Linked DNA regions of Mus musculus. The protein of the gene in region 3 interacts with the protein of the main gene of each other region in a pairwise test. Links are inferred from orthologs where the notes say so. Each region holds a gene or a part of one and is shown on either strand. Other genes may lie near its edges. The genes, in order: Mos, Emilin1 and Mtmr9.

Region 1 (3,304 bases), on a different chromosome or scaffold from region 3:
TGAACTATAATCTTATCTTTGTGATTGCTGAGCAAATTTGCAGTATAATTTCAGTGCTTTTAAATTTTGTCCTGCTTACTATTTTCCTTTTTTATTTGGGTTTGATATGCGTGCACAGAATGGGGCTTCTATTAAAATATTCCATGGCTTACATTTTTAATATTTTGTTCTCTTAATATGTTCAAAGCTACTCAACTTTTATTCCCGAAAAATGTTTACTTTAATTATTCTAATTTCTTACATAAAGCATTGAGGTGCTAACAATTATATACTATGTACAAGATGGCAGACTAAATCATATCATACCATCAAGTAGAAACCTGGAGTTTGGTGAACTTTGAGTTGTTTATATGTCTCTCCTTTATTGTCTTCTCAAAACCTGTGATTCTGAAGTCAAAGGGACACAGCTGTCACATGAAAAGTGATCACTTATCACCTGTATGCATAAAACACCTTACCAAGCAGCTAAGAGGAATAACTCCTAGCCACTTTGAGAAACGTTTTTGAATAAACAGAGCAAGGCTCTTCCCCATTCTCCCAGAGATATAGCATAAAACTGAGCGCATTTTTATAAAACAAAAAAGGAGGAATGTGTGGTTTGATGGCCAGACCCTGAATTTGTGTTCAGCATCTGCTTTTCCATATTATAGATGGGTACCAGTGATTCTGAGCCATGTCTATTTCTCCTGACTTTTCCTCTGTTTTCCCACGCTTGCTGATATTTACAGCCGTGGTCATCACAATCACCTTTGTTCCTTTCTTCCTTCCTCCAACTCTGCATTAAATTCCAGGAACTTGCTTTCTGTGAAGTCTAGAATCTGTCTTGAAGCAAACTCACACTCATGGGGTGGCTTAACTTGCCTTGGAAAGGGATATTGGGAGGTCACTGTGTTGTTATGTTACAGAGTCTTAACTTGCTGTTTAAATCAAATACAGTGTCAGAATGCTCCCTTCTGATGAACGTAAAAGGTATGTGATCTGACTTCTATAAGTGATTGTATTTGGATCAAAGACATTAAAGTTACAGATGTTAATTCTTACAAAGGTTGCATCTAATAACCCTGGCAAGTAGTTCAACAAATGTCTGCTGTTTGTATTGCAACTCTTGCAGCCAATAGCTGCTGGGAGTGATTTAATGCAGCTGGAGACTAGCACTAACAATCATTATAGCCTGAAAAGTGTGCACCAAGTTCACTGTACTTTTTTTTTCTCTTCAGTCGAAGGACTGATTAATGATCATCAGAATGTACTTGATTTTTTTTTTCTTCCATTGTATTGTGATTGAAGAATTAGTTGGAAGGTGACGTGAACTTTTGGGCAGGCCAGTACTGTTTAACGGGGGAAGAAGTTGCTAAGGATTCACTTTAGCTGTGAGCAATCGTTTCATCTGAGACTGCCAGGCTTCATCTGCACCCCCAACCCCACCTGACTTATTTTTTAAAAAAGAAACACCTTGTGGAGTAGTGATAGCACAGATGTGGCTGGTTTTGAGAATCAAGGAAGAAGGGAAAGGAACTGGGATGAAGGCAGCAATCTTCAGCCATGCTCCCAAACTTCCCTGGCTGTTCCTACTCATTTCTCCCTAGTGTCTCATGTGACTGTCCCATCTGAGGGTGTAATGCCTTCGCCTCTAAGCCTGTGTCGCTACCTCCCTCGTGAGCTGTCGCCATCGGTGGACTCGCGGTCCTGCAGCATTCCTTTGGTGGCCCCGAGGAAGGCAGGGAAGCTCTTCCTGGGGACCACTCCTCCTCGGGCTCCCGGACTGCCACGCCGGCTGGCCTGGTTCTCCATAGACTGGGAACAGGTATGTCTGATGCATAGGCTGGGCTCTGGAGGGTTTGGCTCGGTGTATAAAGCCACTTACCACGGTGTTCCTGTGGCCATCAAGCAAGTAAACAAGTGCACCAAGGACCTACGTGCATCCCAGCGGAGTTTCTGGGCTGAACTGAACATTGCAAGACTACGCCACGACAACATAGTTCGGGTTGTGGCTGCCAGCACGCGCACGCCCGAAGACTCCAACAGCCTAGGTACCATAATCATGGAGTTTGGGGGCAACGTGACTCTACACCAAGTCATCTACGGTGCCACCCGCTCACCGGAGCCTCTCAGCTGCAGAGAACAACTGAGTTTGGGGAAGTGCCTCAAGTATTCCCTAGATGTTGTTAACGGCCTGCTTTTTCTCCACTCACAAAGCATTTTGCACTTGGACCTGAAGCCAGCGAACATTTTGATCAGTGAGCAAGACGTTTGTAAGATCAGTGACTTCGGCTGCTCCCAGAAGCTGCAGGATCTGCGGTGCCGGCAGGCGTCCCCTCACCACATAGGGGGCACGTACACGCACCAAGCTCCGGAGATCCTGAAAGGAGAGATTGCCACGCCCAAAGCTGACATCTACTCTTTTGGAATCACCCTGTGGCAGATGACCACCAGGGAGGTGCCTTACTCCGGCGAACCTCAGTACGTGCAGTATGCAGTGGTTGCCTACAATCTGCGCCCCTCACTGGCAGGGGCGGTGTTCACCGCCTCCCTGACTGGAAAGACACTGCAGAACATCATCCAGAGCTGCTGGGAGGCCCGCGCCCTGCAGAGGCCGGGTGCAGAACTGCTCCAAAGGGACCTCAAGGCTTTCCGAGGGGCACTAGGCTGACTCCATCGAGCCGATGTAGAGATAAGCTTTTTGTCTCTGTTTATTTTTTTAAAGAAGTAAGGATGGTGTGGAAGAAAACATACCACTAGGGCATATTTTTAGGAAATAAAGTTACCACGAACTTCAGCCTGAAGTGCTTTTCCTAAGCATAACGGGGCCACAGATCTCATGGGCATCGCTGCTGGTAAACTAAGCCGTTTTGGGGTTCCTGGCCCTACTGTATCATTTCTGTAGTAAGGTTTGTTCCTGGATGAAAAAAAGAATGGGGGTGATGGTGGGAGGAGAGGACATCCCTGCTCCTAGGTATGAAGAACAAAGTTTATCGTGAATAAAAGGGAGACATAGGACATGGACCTGACTCTGAGCCATGTGAGAAGAGGTAGGAGGGGAAGGGAGAAGGAAGAGAGGAGAATCAGGTGTAGCAGCCCAAAAGAGGAGAAGTAACTAAATGGATTATACAGGGAAGGACAGCTGGGGAAGAAGGGCATGCCAGCCAGGACCACCCTGTACTGATAGGGATTGAGGGATGCAGGGAGAACCTGGCACCAGGTCCACTTTGTTGTGTTAAATAGGCACTTCAGCCATTTGTCCTGGGGTTGAAAACTTAGTTACTGGTAAAGAACATTTTTCCAAAAACGAATGGTACTATAGAAT
Region 2 (4,412 bases), on a different chromosome or scaffold from region 3:
TCTTCCCTCCTCTTAGCCAGAGCTCACATCATGCCTTTGTCCTGGCCTCTTGGCAATCGGCCTGCCCTGCTTTTGTGGTTCTGTGTTTGGGGGCCCTGTTCCATTCCTTAATTGATAGTGACAGAGTTTTAGACTTGCCTTTGCAACTCCAGTACCTCTCCCGTGCCCCACACACAACAACATCTCGTAGCCTGTGTCTGTCTGGTACTTCAGCTTTCCCCCTGTCTGTCCTGTCCCTCGGAGACACAGGTCCAGAACACAACAGGAGAACACAAAGCCAAGAGGCAGCAGGCAAAGGAATTACTTTTCCATTGTGGGCCTCTACAAGGAGGCAGGGGGACCCAATGGTGTGTAGCGGCTGAGCTACACACACTTACACTCATACAGGCCTCCAGGCTAGAGAGAGAGCAACCGAGCCTGAGCTCTATTATCACTGCAATCATCTGTTCTGGTTATAGCCTAACCTCCACCAGTGACACAGGAAGGAGATTCCTTCCCCTCTTGTGTCCTCCATTGTTTAAGAAAAGCCTCTTTGTCTGAGTCCTTCCTCTTCTCCCACACTGGTGGATTTCCTATCTGTCTCCACAGATGATGCTTCTCTTTCCCTCTCCGGGTCTCTTGAGTCACTACAGTCATTTAGAGTCTCATCCCAGCCATTCATTGACTTGATGTGTCACCTTGGACAAAGTAATTACTTTCCCACTGTAGGCCTCTAAAAGGAGGCAGTAGGACCCAATGGTCCTATGAGTGCCCCCTCCCCCATGCGCTATCCTCTGTACAGGCCTGCCTTCCTCCTCCCCAGGACTCACTCTCTCCTCCCAAGAGTCCTGCTCTGACCAACCCAGGGCTTCTGGGTCTCTGGCTGGTTCCTGGTTCTAGCCACCAGCACTGGGCCTCCTATTCAGATTTGGCCCCAGCTCCATGTGGCCTGTCTGAGAGGCTGGCCTCAAGCCCGGCGGCAACTCCACATTTCTCTGTTTTTCCTTTCCCCCCCCCCCCCTCTTTCCCGGAGTTAACAAGAAGCAGATGTGGCGCACGATGGTTGGAGAGGTGGGGGAGGAAGGGGGAGGCTGGACCGCCAGCCAGACAGGGGGAAGGGAGGAGAGAGAAGGGAGGGAGGGAGAGAGGAGACTGGCCCGCCCATGGTCACTCTTGTGCCTCTCAACAGCCACAGGAGCAAAGCTCTGTCATCCTTAGGATCCAGTCATCAGGGAACAGAACAGGGAGACCAGAAGAGGGCCAGCTGGAGCCAGGGGGTGGAGGCTCAGGAAACAGTCTCTGAAAGGGGCAGGGACCAGGCACAGGAGGCCAGGGGCCCAGAGAACAGACTCCCCTCAGAAGTACAGAAGAGGAGAGCGGAAGGAACTGAGGGAGGGACAGACAGGAGCCTGAGGAGGAAAGAGGAGGGGGAGAAGGGGTCAGGCCCAGCAGCCAAGGAGGAGGCGTGCAGCTGGGGGCTGCAGGCAGGAAGCTAGGGACAGAACTGGCTCGGCGGAGTACTGTCCCCTGAAGCAGCGGCATCCCCTGGAAGTGCGGTATAGGCATTATTGGTCAGACCAAGATGTGCCTCTAAGGGCAGCAAGGAACATTTCACCATGGCCCCCAGAGCCCTCTGGAGCTGCTATCTCTGCTGTCTGCTGACCATAGCCACGGAAGCTGCCAGCTACCCTCCTCGAGGTTACAGCCTCTACACAGGAGGCACTGGGGCCCTGAGTCCTGGGGGACCCCAGGCCCAGAACTCACCACGGCCTGCCAGCCGCCACAGGTAAGAGTCTGTATTCCATCCAGGGCTGAAGGCTGTGGTTGGGAAAGCCTTTAGAAGGTGGGCAACAGGCTTAACACAATGAAGAGGACAGCGTGAACACCCATCCATCAATGGCCTACCCATATGCACCTTCCGGTGGAACTTTTTCCAGGGCTTCGGTAGCCTAAGGGGGATCAACTCTCGCCTCTTCCCTAAGGAGGTCTGTAGTTGGGTGCCCAGGGACACTACACCAAGGGGTATGGACTATCCTTCCTGCCAGCTGCCAGCTGTGTACCAGCCAGCTCTGGATCAGGCAGACCTTTCTCCTCCTCTAGGGCTTCCTTGGCCCCATCCACTAATGTATAATTCTGACACTCCTCCTGCTCTGTTCCCTCTGGCTCTACAGCAGCTCACAGACTAGAAGCCAGTGTGAATGGGGTCAAGAGTGCAGCACCGCAAGCCCCAAGGGGACAGAGCCCATCAGTGGCTTATTCTCTACTTAAGCATAGGTCGGACATTTGGACACTGGCCTGCCCCGCTCTCCTCTTTGAAGGCTGGGTGGAGGCACCATGAGCAGGGGGTCATGTACAGGAACCCAGCTTACTCAGCTGGGGCTTGAGATAGGCCCAAAGAAGTACACAGGGACTGTGAATTCTAGGGTACCCTGGGGCCCCACAGTCAGAAGGGCTGACTTCTCTGTGTGTGTTTTTATCATTATGTTTTTCCTGTCTTGAAAAGTCTTTATCTGCCATAGTGACACAAAGTGTGTGTTTGTCTGTGTGTGTCTGTGTGTGTGTGTGTGTCTGTGTAGGAGAGGGGAGTGGGTGCTGCCCCTGCAAAAACCCTAACTTTCAATGGGTCCTTAAGGCCCCCTTCATCTTTTGACCCTCCTTCAACCTCCGGGCCCACTGGGGCTTGTGTCTTTGGTCCTTTGGCCCAGGTAGGGTTGTGCCTACAGGAACTGGTGTGCCTACGTGGTGACTCGGACAGTGAGCTGCGTCCTTGAGGATGGAGTGGAGACCATTGTCAAGCCAGACTATCAACCCTGTGGCTGGGGCCAGCCCCACTGTTCCCGAAGTATCATGTGAGGCCCCAACTTAGGGGATTGGGTGCTTACTGGGATCCGGGCAAGGGCAGACAGCTGGTGGCCATCTAGGGGGTCTGTGCAAAGGAGGGAGCAGGGGGAAGGACAGGATTTCAGTCAGAACCATTTTGAGAAGACAGCCGGGTCCTAGCTTGGCTGGTGAGCTGCCACAGGCATTCTCCCCTTGTCCCCAACCTTTGGGACTTCTGCTGACACAGGTCAGTCTTAAAGAGATTAGCTTAGGGTTCCAGCACAGGGAAAGAAAAAACCAGGATTTAGCCCTTAACTAAAAAGCAGATAGCTGTTAACTGAGCAGGACCACACACTGGCTAGAGAGGTAGACCCAGCCTGAAGCACAAGACAACCAGCTGCACTGAGAGAATACAAAACCTTCCTTTCCTCTGGCCAGGTACCGGAGCTTTCTTCGCCCTCGCTATCGGGTGGCTTACAAGACAGTGACAGACATGGAGTGGAGGTGCTGTCAGGGTTATGGGGGCGATGACTGTGGAGAGGGCCCTGCTTCCGTTCTGGGCCCAGCACCCTCCACACCACTTCCCCGGCCCAGGCCTGTGCGCCCCAACCTGTCTGGCTCCAGTGCCGGCAGCCATCTCAGTGGACTGGGAGGAGAAGGTGAGCCTGCATGTTGCTAGGCATGGGGGAATCCTGGGTGGAAAATGTGGGGCCCAGCTGTGGAGGGAGGGAAACCTCTATGCTCTAAACTTGGGGGGAAGGTGGTTATAACAGAGGTAATGACGTCCCTGAAACTTCGAATGTTTGCATGCTTGTGTGATTTGAGTGTGTCTGGGGGCCGGGTGGGGGGCAGGGCAGAGCTTGGGGGAGACTGATTGAAAGACCTGAAAACTTAAGATCTGGATAAGACAAGAAGGCATAGAGACAATTTGTTCACATACTCCCTCTAGTGGCCAAGGTCCTTCGTAGTCGGGAACAGCTGTGGGAGAAGCGTGGGGAATTCCTTTGAGAATCTCTGTCTGCAGGGAAGATAGTTAAGACTACAAATCCTAGCATGCATTGCACCGGACTACAGGTCCCAACCCCCTCCCAGGCCCCTGGAGACTGCAGGTCCCAGAATGCAATCGCCTCTGTTGTGTTCTTTCCTCCTATGTGTATGAGTTAGGCTAGGCACACCGGATGCGTGGTCCTTTCCTGCCAAAGAGATAACTGAACTATAATTATGGAAACAGGAACTTCTGGTAAACTGGCTGGCCAGCCAGCACCCCAGCAGGCTTGCTGCAAGAGCCTCTTGTTTGTCCCTCTGGTGGTTTAGGGAAGGGCCCAGTCATTGCAACAGTGGCATGTGAAGTACTTTCCCACATTTCCATTTTAAACTGTTTGACAGCCCTAAAAGGCAGGACACATAGTGTCAATCGAATTTTCCAGATAAGGAAATGGTTTCCAAGAAGTCAAGAGGTCCTGGGGACAAGTTGGGTGGCCGGGTGATCTAAGTTTGAAATTTGACATGGCCACTTGTTAAACGCATTCTCTGGAACTACTTGCCTAATTTCTCTGGTTCCCCGTTTCCTGTGCCATCAAATGGCAAAAGTATCTGCCCAATAGAAAAGTTTT
Region 3 (3,990 bases):
TTCTTTTTTGAGCAGATGTAAGTTGAAGCTACAACAGAAAACAATGTCTTTGTGGTCATGGGTCAATCGGCCCGGCGAGCTGAGTAAGTTCACCAATCCACTCTTTGAAGCCAACAACCTGGTCATCTGGCCTTCTGTGGCGCCACAGAGTCTTCAGCTGTGGGAAGGTAACTCCCCACTGTGTGCAGAGATTCACATACTGCAAGCTGTGCCCTGAGCTGGCCTGGGGTCACATGCCACAGTAGTTGGTTTTTGAAGATGGTCAGCTGGTAACCCACAGACCTGTGTATGGGTGTTAGTGGTTTCTCAGTGTGGCATGACCGCTGACTGCCAGGAGTTGGTAGACAGCTGGGACATGAACGGATTTTAAGTTCTTCTATCTGTTTCATTTCTAAGCATCATTACAATTAAATGGGTGTTAAATGGTGTCACACAGTCATTCCAGTAGGATGTATAAATAAGCACAAAACACCAGTGGGCGCTACGGGAACCACTGTTCATATGGAGTAGCAATTCATGATGCATTCCTAACCGTAGTCTAAAACAGGGTCTTACATGTGAGTTTTCACATGAAGCTAATCTCCTTAAAGAGCAAAGCTTGTTTTGTTTTGTTTTTTTTTTTAAAAAAAGAACATATATCACATAGTGTATATCAGGTGTTCTTTCCAATGGCACAGTAGATGTTCCATTAACTTAGTAATCACTTTGAAGACAGTGAGTGCATCTTCATGCTTGTTTACAGGAAGTACCATACACACAAAGAGGCTGTTGTTTAGGAAGTTCTCCTAGGTTTTCGTTTGTGTCTGTTGACAACTCGTAACTTGTGGTGCTCTTGGGATAGCTCATGTATAGAAGGTGATTTGCCCATCAGGTGGTGCTTTCTCTGGACTGCCTCTTGTTCCTCTTGGCATGTCTGCTGAGTGCATCTTCCTCCTCAGGCTGGGTGCCTCCCTCCTTAGAGTGCAGGGAAGCTAAATGCCTCCATCAGTGTCATCAGTGTCTAGGTTCCCTGAGCAGCCCCTGTGATTTAAATCTGTGATGGGGCAGAACCTCTCTGCTTACTCTCTGGATTGTTGTAGAATAAGTAATTTCCTAAACGAGAGATTGCTGCTTTGCTTCCTTTGTAAAGGTCTTGGGGCTGGTGAAGTAGCTCAGTGACAATCTGAGTTCTGTCCCCAGGACTCATGTGGTGGAAGTAGAGAACCTACTGGCTCTTGCAGCTTGTCCTCTGACTTCACACACACACACACACACACACGAATATACACACACACACACACGAATATACACACACACATGCATACATCATCTGAATAAAATGTAATAAAAACTTTCATTTTCCGAGGCAGTTTACTTAAAAACCACTGTCATACTTAATCACTGAAATGAGAGGCCAGCTGTTGGAGACAAATGCCCTGTCTAGAGTGGGGCTCCAGAGATGAAGTGGTGGAGGAAACACAACTGCCATGTGCTTACATCCTAGGAGGCGTTCATAGTGACTTCTGATCCAAGAGTAGTAGACAGTGTAGTTGTGGAATAAAAACAACAACACAAGCCAGCTTTCTCTAAGCATTTAGCCTCGGTATCTATGAAGTTCACATGCACAGCCAGAACCAGGTGTGGACTGGATATTTCAAAAAGTTTGTCCTGGCCGGGCAGTGGTGGCGCACACCTTTAATCCAGCATTTGGGAGGCAGAGGCAGGCAGATTTCTGAGTTCGAGGCCAGCCTGGTCTACAGAGTGAGTTCCAGGACAGCCAGAACTACACAGAGAAACTCTGTCTTGGAAAAAAAAAAAAGTTTGTCCTGTGGCAGGTTAGTTTCTAGTTCACATTTTCTAAGCCGCACAGTACTATAAGTATTTACAGTGTCCACACTGAATAGGACAGATATCTTGAGATGCTTGTGTGCATAGGTTAAAAACAAACACTGTCATTTGATGTAAAGGATTCAGCATCCAAGAATGTAATGCCCAGGAGCCATTCTGGAGTCAGTGACCTGAGATGACAAGCACCCGTTCAGTCCACAGTGAGCCAGTGGTGGTTGTCTGAGGAGAGGAGCAGTTCCCTGTGGAGCTGGACAGTGACTGATGGTGTAGAGTGATGTGAGTTATTGATGTTGAGGTGTAAGTAACAGCCTGTGCCTCTGATGCCGCGGCCACCATCACTCTCACAGTGAGAACGGTTTCACTCAGGCAGGCAATCTCCCAGACCAAATAGAAGTCTGCAGTTGTAAAATGGGTGACTTTGGTTATGAAAATGAAGACTTCGTGGCACTCTTAAGTTACCGGCTTATTTTCATGAGCATATTACAACGGTGTTTCTGGTTATAACCAGTAAACACCTCCATGACAACTGCAGTTCTTTGCTACTGTGTGGCTTCTTTCAGTAACTGAAGAGTCTGTGTAGTTTAGAGTATTGTGAGGCACAGGGTAAGCCATGTGTGGTGGTGCATGTCTGGAATCCTAGCTGCTTGGAGGCTGAGATAGGTGGATCACAAGTTTCAGGCTAGCTTGGGCCATTTAGTGAGACCTGTTTCTCAAAATCAGGAAGAGCTGTCGTTCCATAGTAGAGCATTTTTCTGTTAAGTGTAAGGTCCTGGGCTCAATCTGTAATGCTGCAAAACAAAAGTTTAGACAAATATAACATGAGTTGTGGGAAACTGTACAGTGCGTGGAGTTACCAGGAACACAGTGCTTCTCTGAACATCCTACTCCTGTTTTTCATTCCCGGATTCTACAGGAATCTTCTTACGCTGGAGCAGATCCTCCAAGTATCTGGATGAAGCATATGAGGAAATGGTTAACATCATTGAATATAACAAGGAGTTACAAGCCAAGGTCAATGTCCTGAGAAGGCAGTTGGCTGAATTGGAAACAGAGGATGGGCTATGAGAGAGTCCTTGAAAGATCGCCTACCTGTCCTGAGGACCTGTCTAGTCCTGAGTCGTCTCTCCCTCTGTTTGCCCTTCAATTCATGTTCACAGTAGCCTTGAACTTGGCTGTAGGTGCGGAATCCCTGTAATGTAATGGCCTTCTAAGCACTGCAAGGTGGCAGTCACTCACAGATATGGCCTGTTAGGCCCTCCACTTAATGAGCAGGTGGTGCTGTCACCTCACTACATATATGACACCTATGCCCTATGCTGTTCCCCATCTCTAGTTTCTCACCAGTGGTCCAGACTAGTTAAGAATCCATCTACAACATGGGCCAGGCTTATTTGCATTCGAGTATAGAGGTGTTTCTTTTTTTAATGGAAATAATTGGGAAGCCACAATTGTATGTTTAACATGTCATCCTGCCCCTATCCTCCACTCCCAGTTATAAAAAGACCATTCTTTTTTAAAACAGTTTTGGACTAACAAAGCCTGTTTTGTCAAGGAGGAAAATCGGAATAGTTATTTGTGATAAATCTGTGTCAAGGGCAACAGGTGTGGTCCTCTGATAACTTCATTAAGGAAAGATAAATTTGCAAGTTGACACTAAAAAGTGTGTGCCCTAGATAACTGAAGTAGAATTCCTTACTGGTAGCCATGCTTCTATTGAATAGGCTTTTCAGGTTTCTGACCATTCATACAAAATGTGTTTTGAGCAATGGGTGTGAATGAAGCCATCACTTGACTGGCATTCACTTTTCAGAACTGCACAGCACGGACAGCACCCGTGAGCCCGAGGTCTGCGCTCTTACTGCACTGGTTGGTATTTACGTCCATGTGACTTATTTCACTTTTAAATATTTTAAGAGATGACTTGTACCACAGCTAGACTTTGATGTCAGAGTGAGCCATTTGCAAATCTGTCCTGTGTTAGGCAAACAGGATTGCGCTGGAGTGGGGAGCTAGGAAAGTGGCACAGCTGCTTGAGACCGTGCTGTGTCAGCAGCAGGGCTGCAGTGGCTGCAGTGGTGCAGTCAGCTCTGGGTGCTGCACCCTTGCATGCCTGTGGGTTGGTGCTTTCCAGCTGCTTGCTGTTGCAAATGCTGTCATTTCTAG

The links.
Region 1: the proteins of Mtmr9 (region 3) and Mos interact in binary tests that used the Homo sapiens proteins (3 or more experiments, as listed by UniProt). The link is inferred for Mus musculus from reciprocal best matches to the Homo sapiens genes MTMR9 and MOS.
Region 2: the proteins of Mtmr9 (region 3) and Emilin1 interact in binary tests that used the Homo sapiens proteins (3 or more experiments, as listed by UniProt). The link is inferred for Mus musculus from reciprocal best matches to the Homo sapiens genes MTMR9 and EMILIN1.

The regions. Positions count from the first base shown.
Region 1 is NC_000070.6:3,870,129-3,873,432, reverse strand, and holds Mos (proto-oncogene serine/threonine-protein kinase mos), read left to right. Parts: upstream 1-1,327; 5' UTR 1,328-1,618; coding exon 1,619-2,650; 3' UTR 2,651-2,775; downstream 2,776-3,304.
Region 2 is NC_000071.6:30,912,280-30,916,691, forward strand, and holds the start of Emilin1 (EMILIN-1 precursor), read left to right. Parts: upstream 1-1,506; 5' UTR 1,507-1,595; coding exon 1,596-1,765; intron 1,766-2,684; exon of another isoform or gene 2,685-2,702; coding exon 2,703-2,828; intron 2,829-3,237; coding exon 3,238-3,458; intron 3,459-4,412. UniProt on the Homo sapiens protein: Involved in elastic and collagen fibers formation. It is required for EFEMP2 deposition into the extracellular matrix, and collagen network assembly and cross-linking via protein-lysine 6-oxidase/LOX activity.
Region 3 is NC_000080.6:63,522,968-63,526,957, reverse strand, and holds the end of Mtmr9 (myotubularin-related protein 9), read left to right. Parts: intron 1-15; coding exon 16-167; intron 168-2,740; coding exon 2,741-2,892; 3' UTR 2,893-3,348; downstream 3,349-3,990. UniProt on the Homo sapiens protein: Acts as an adapter for myotubularin-related phosphatases. Increases lipid phosphatase MTMR6 catalytic activity, specifically towards phosphatidylinositol 3,5-bisphosphate and MTMR6 binding affinity for phosphorylated phosphatidylinositols.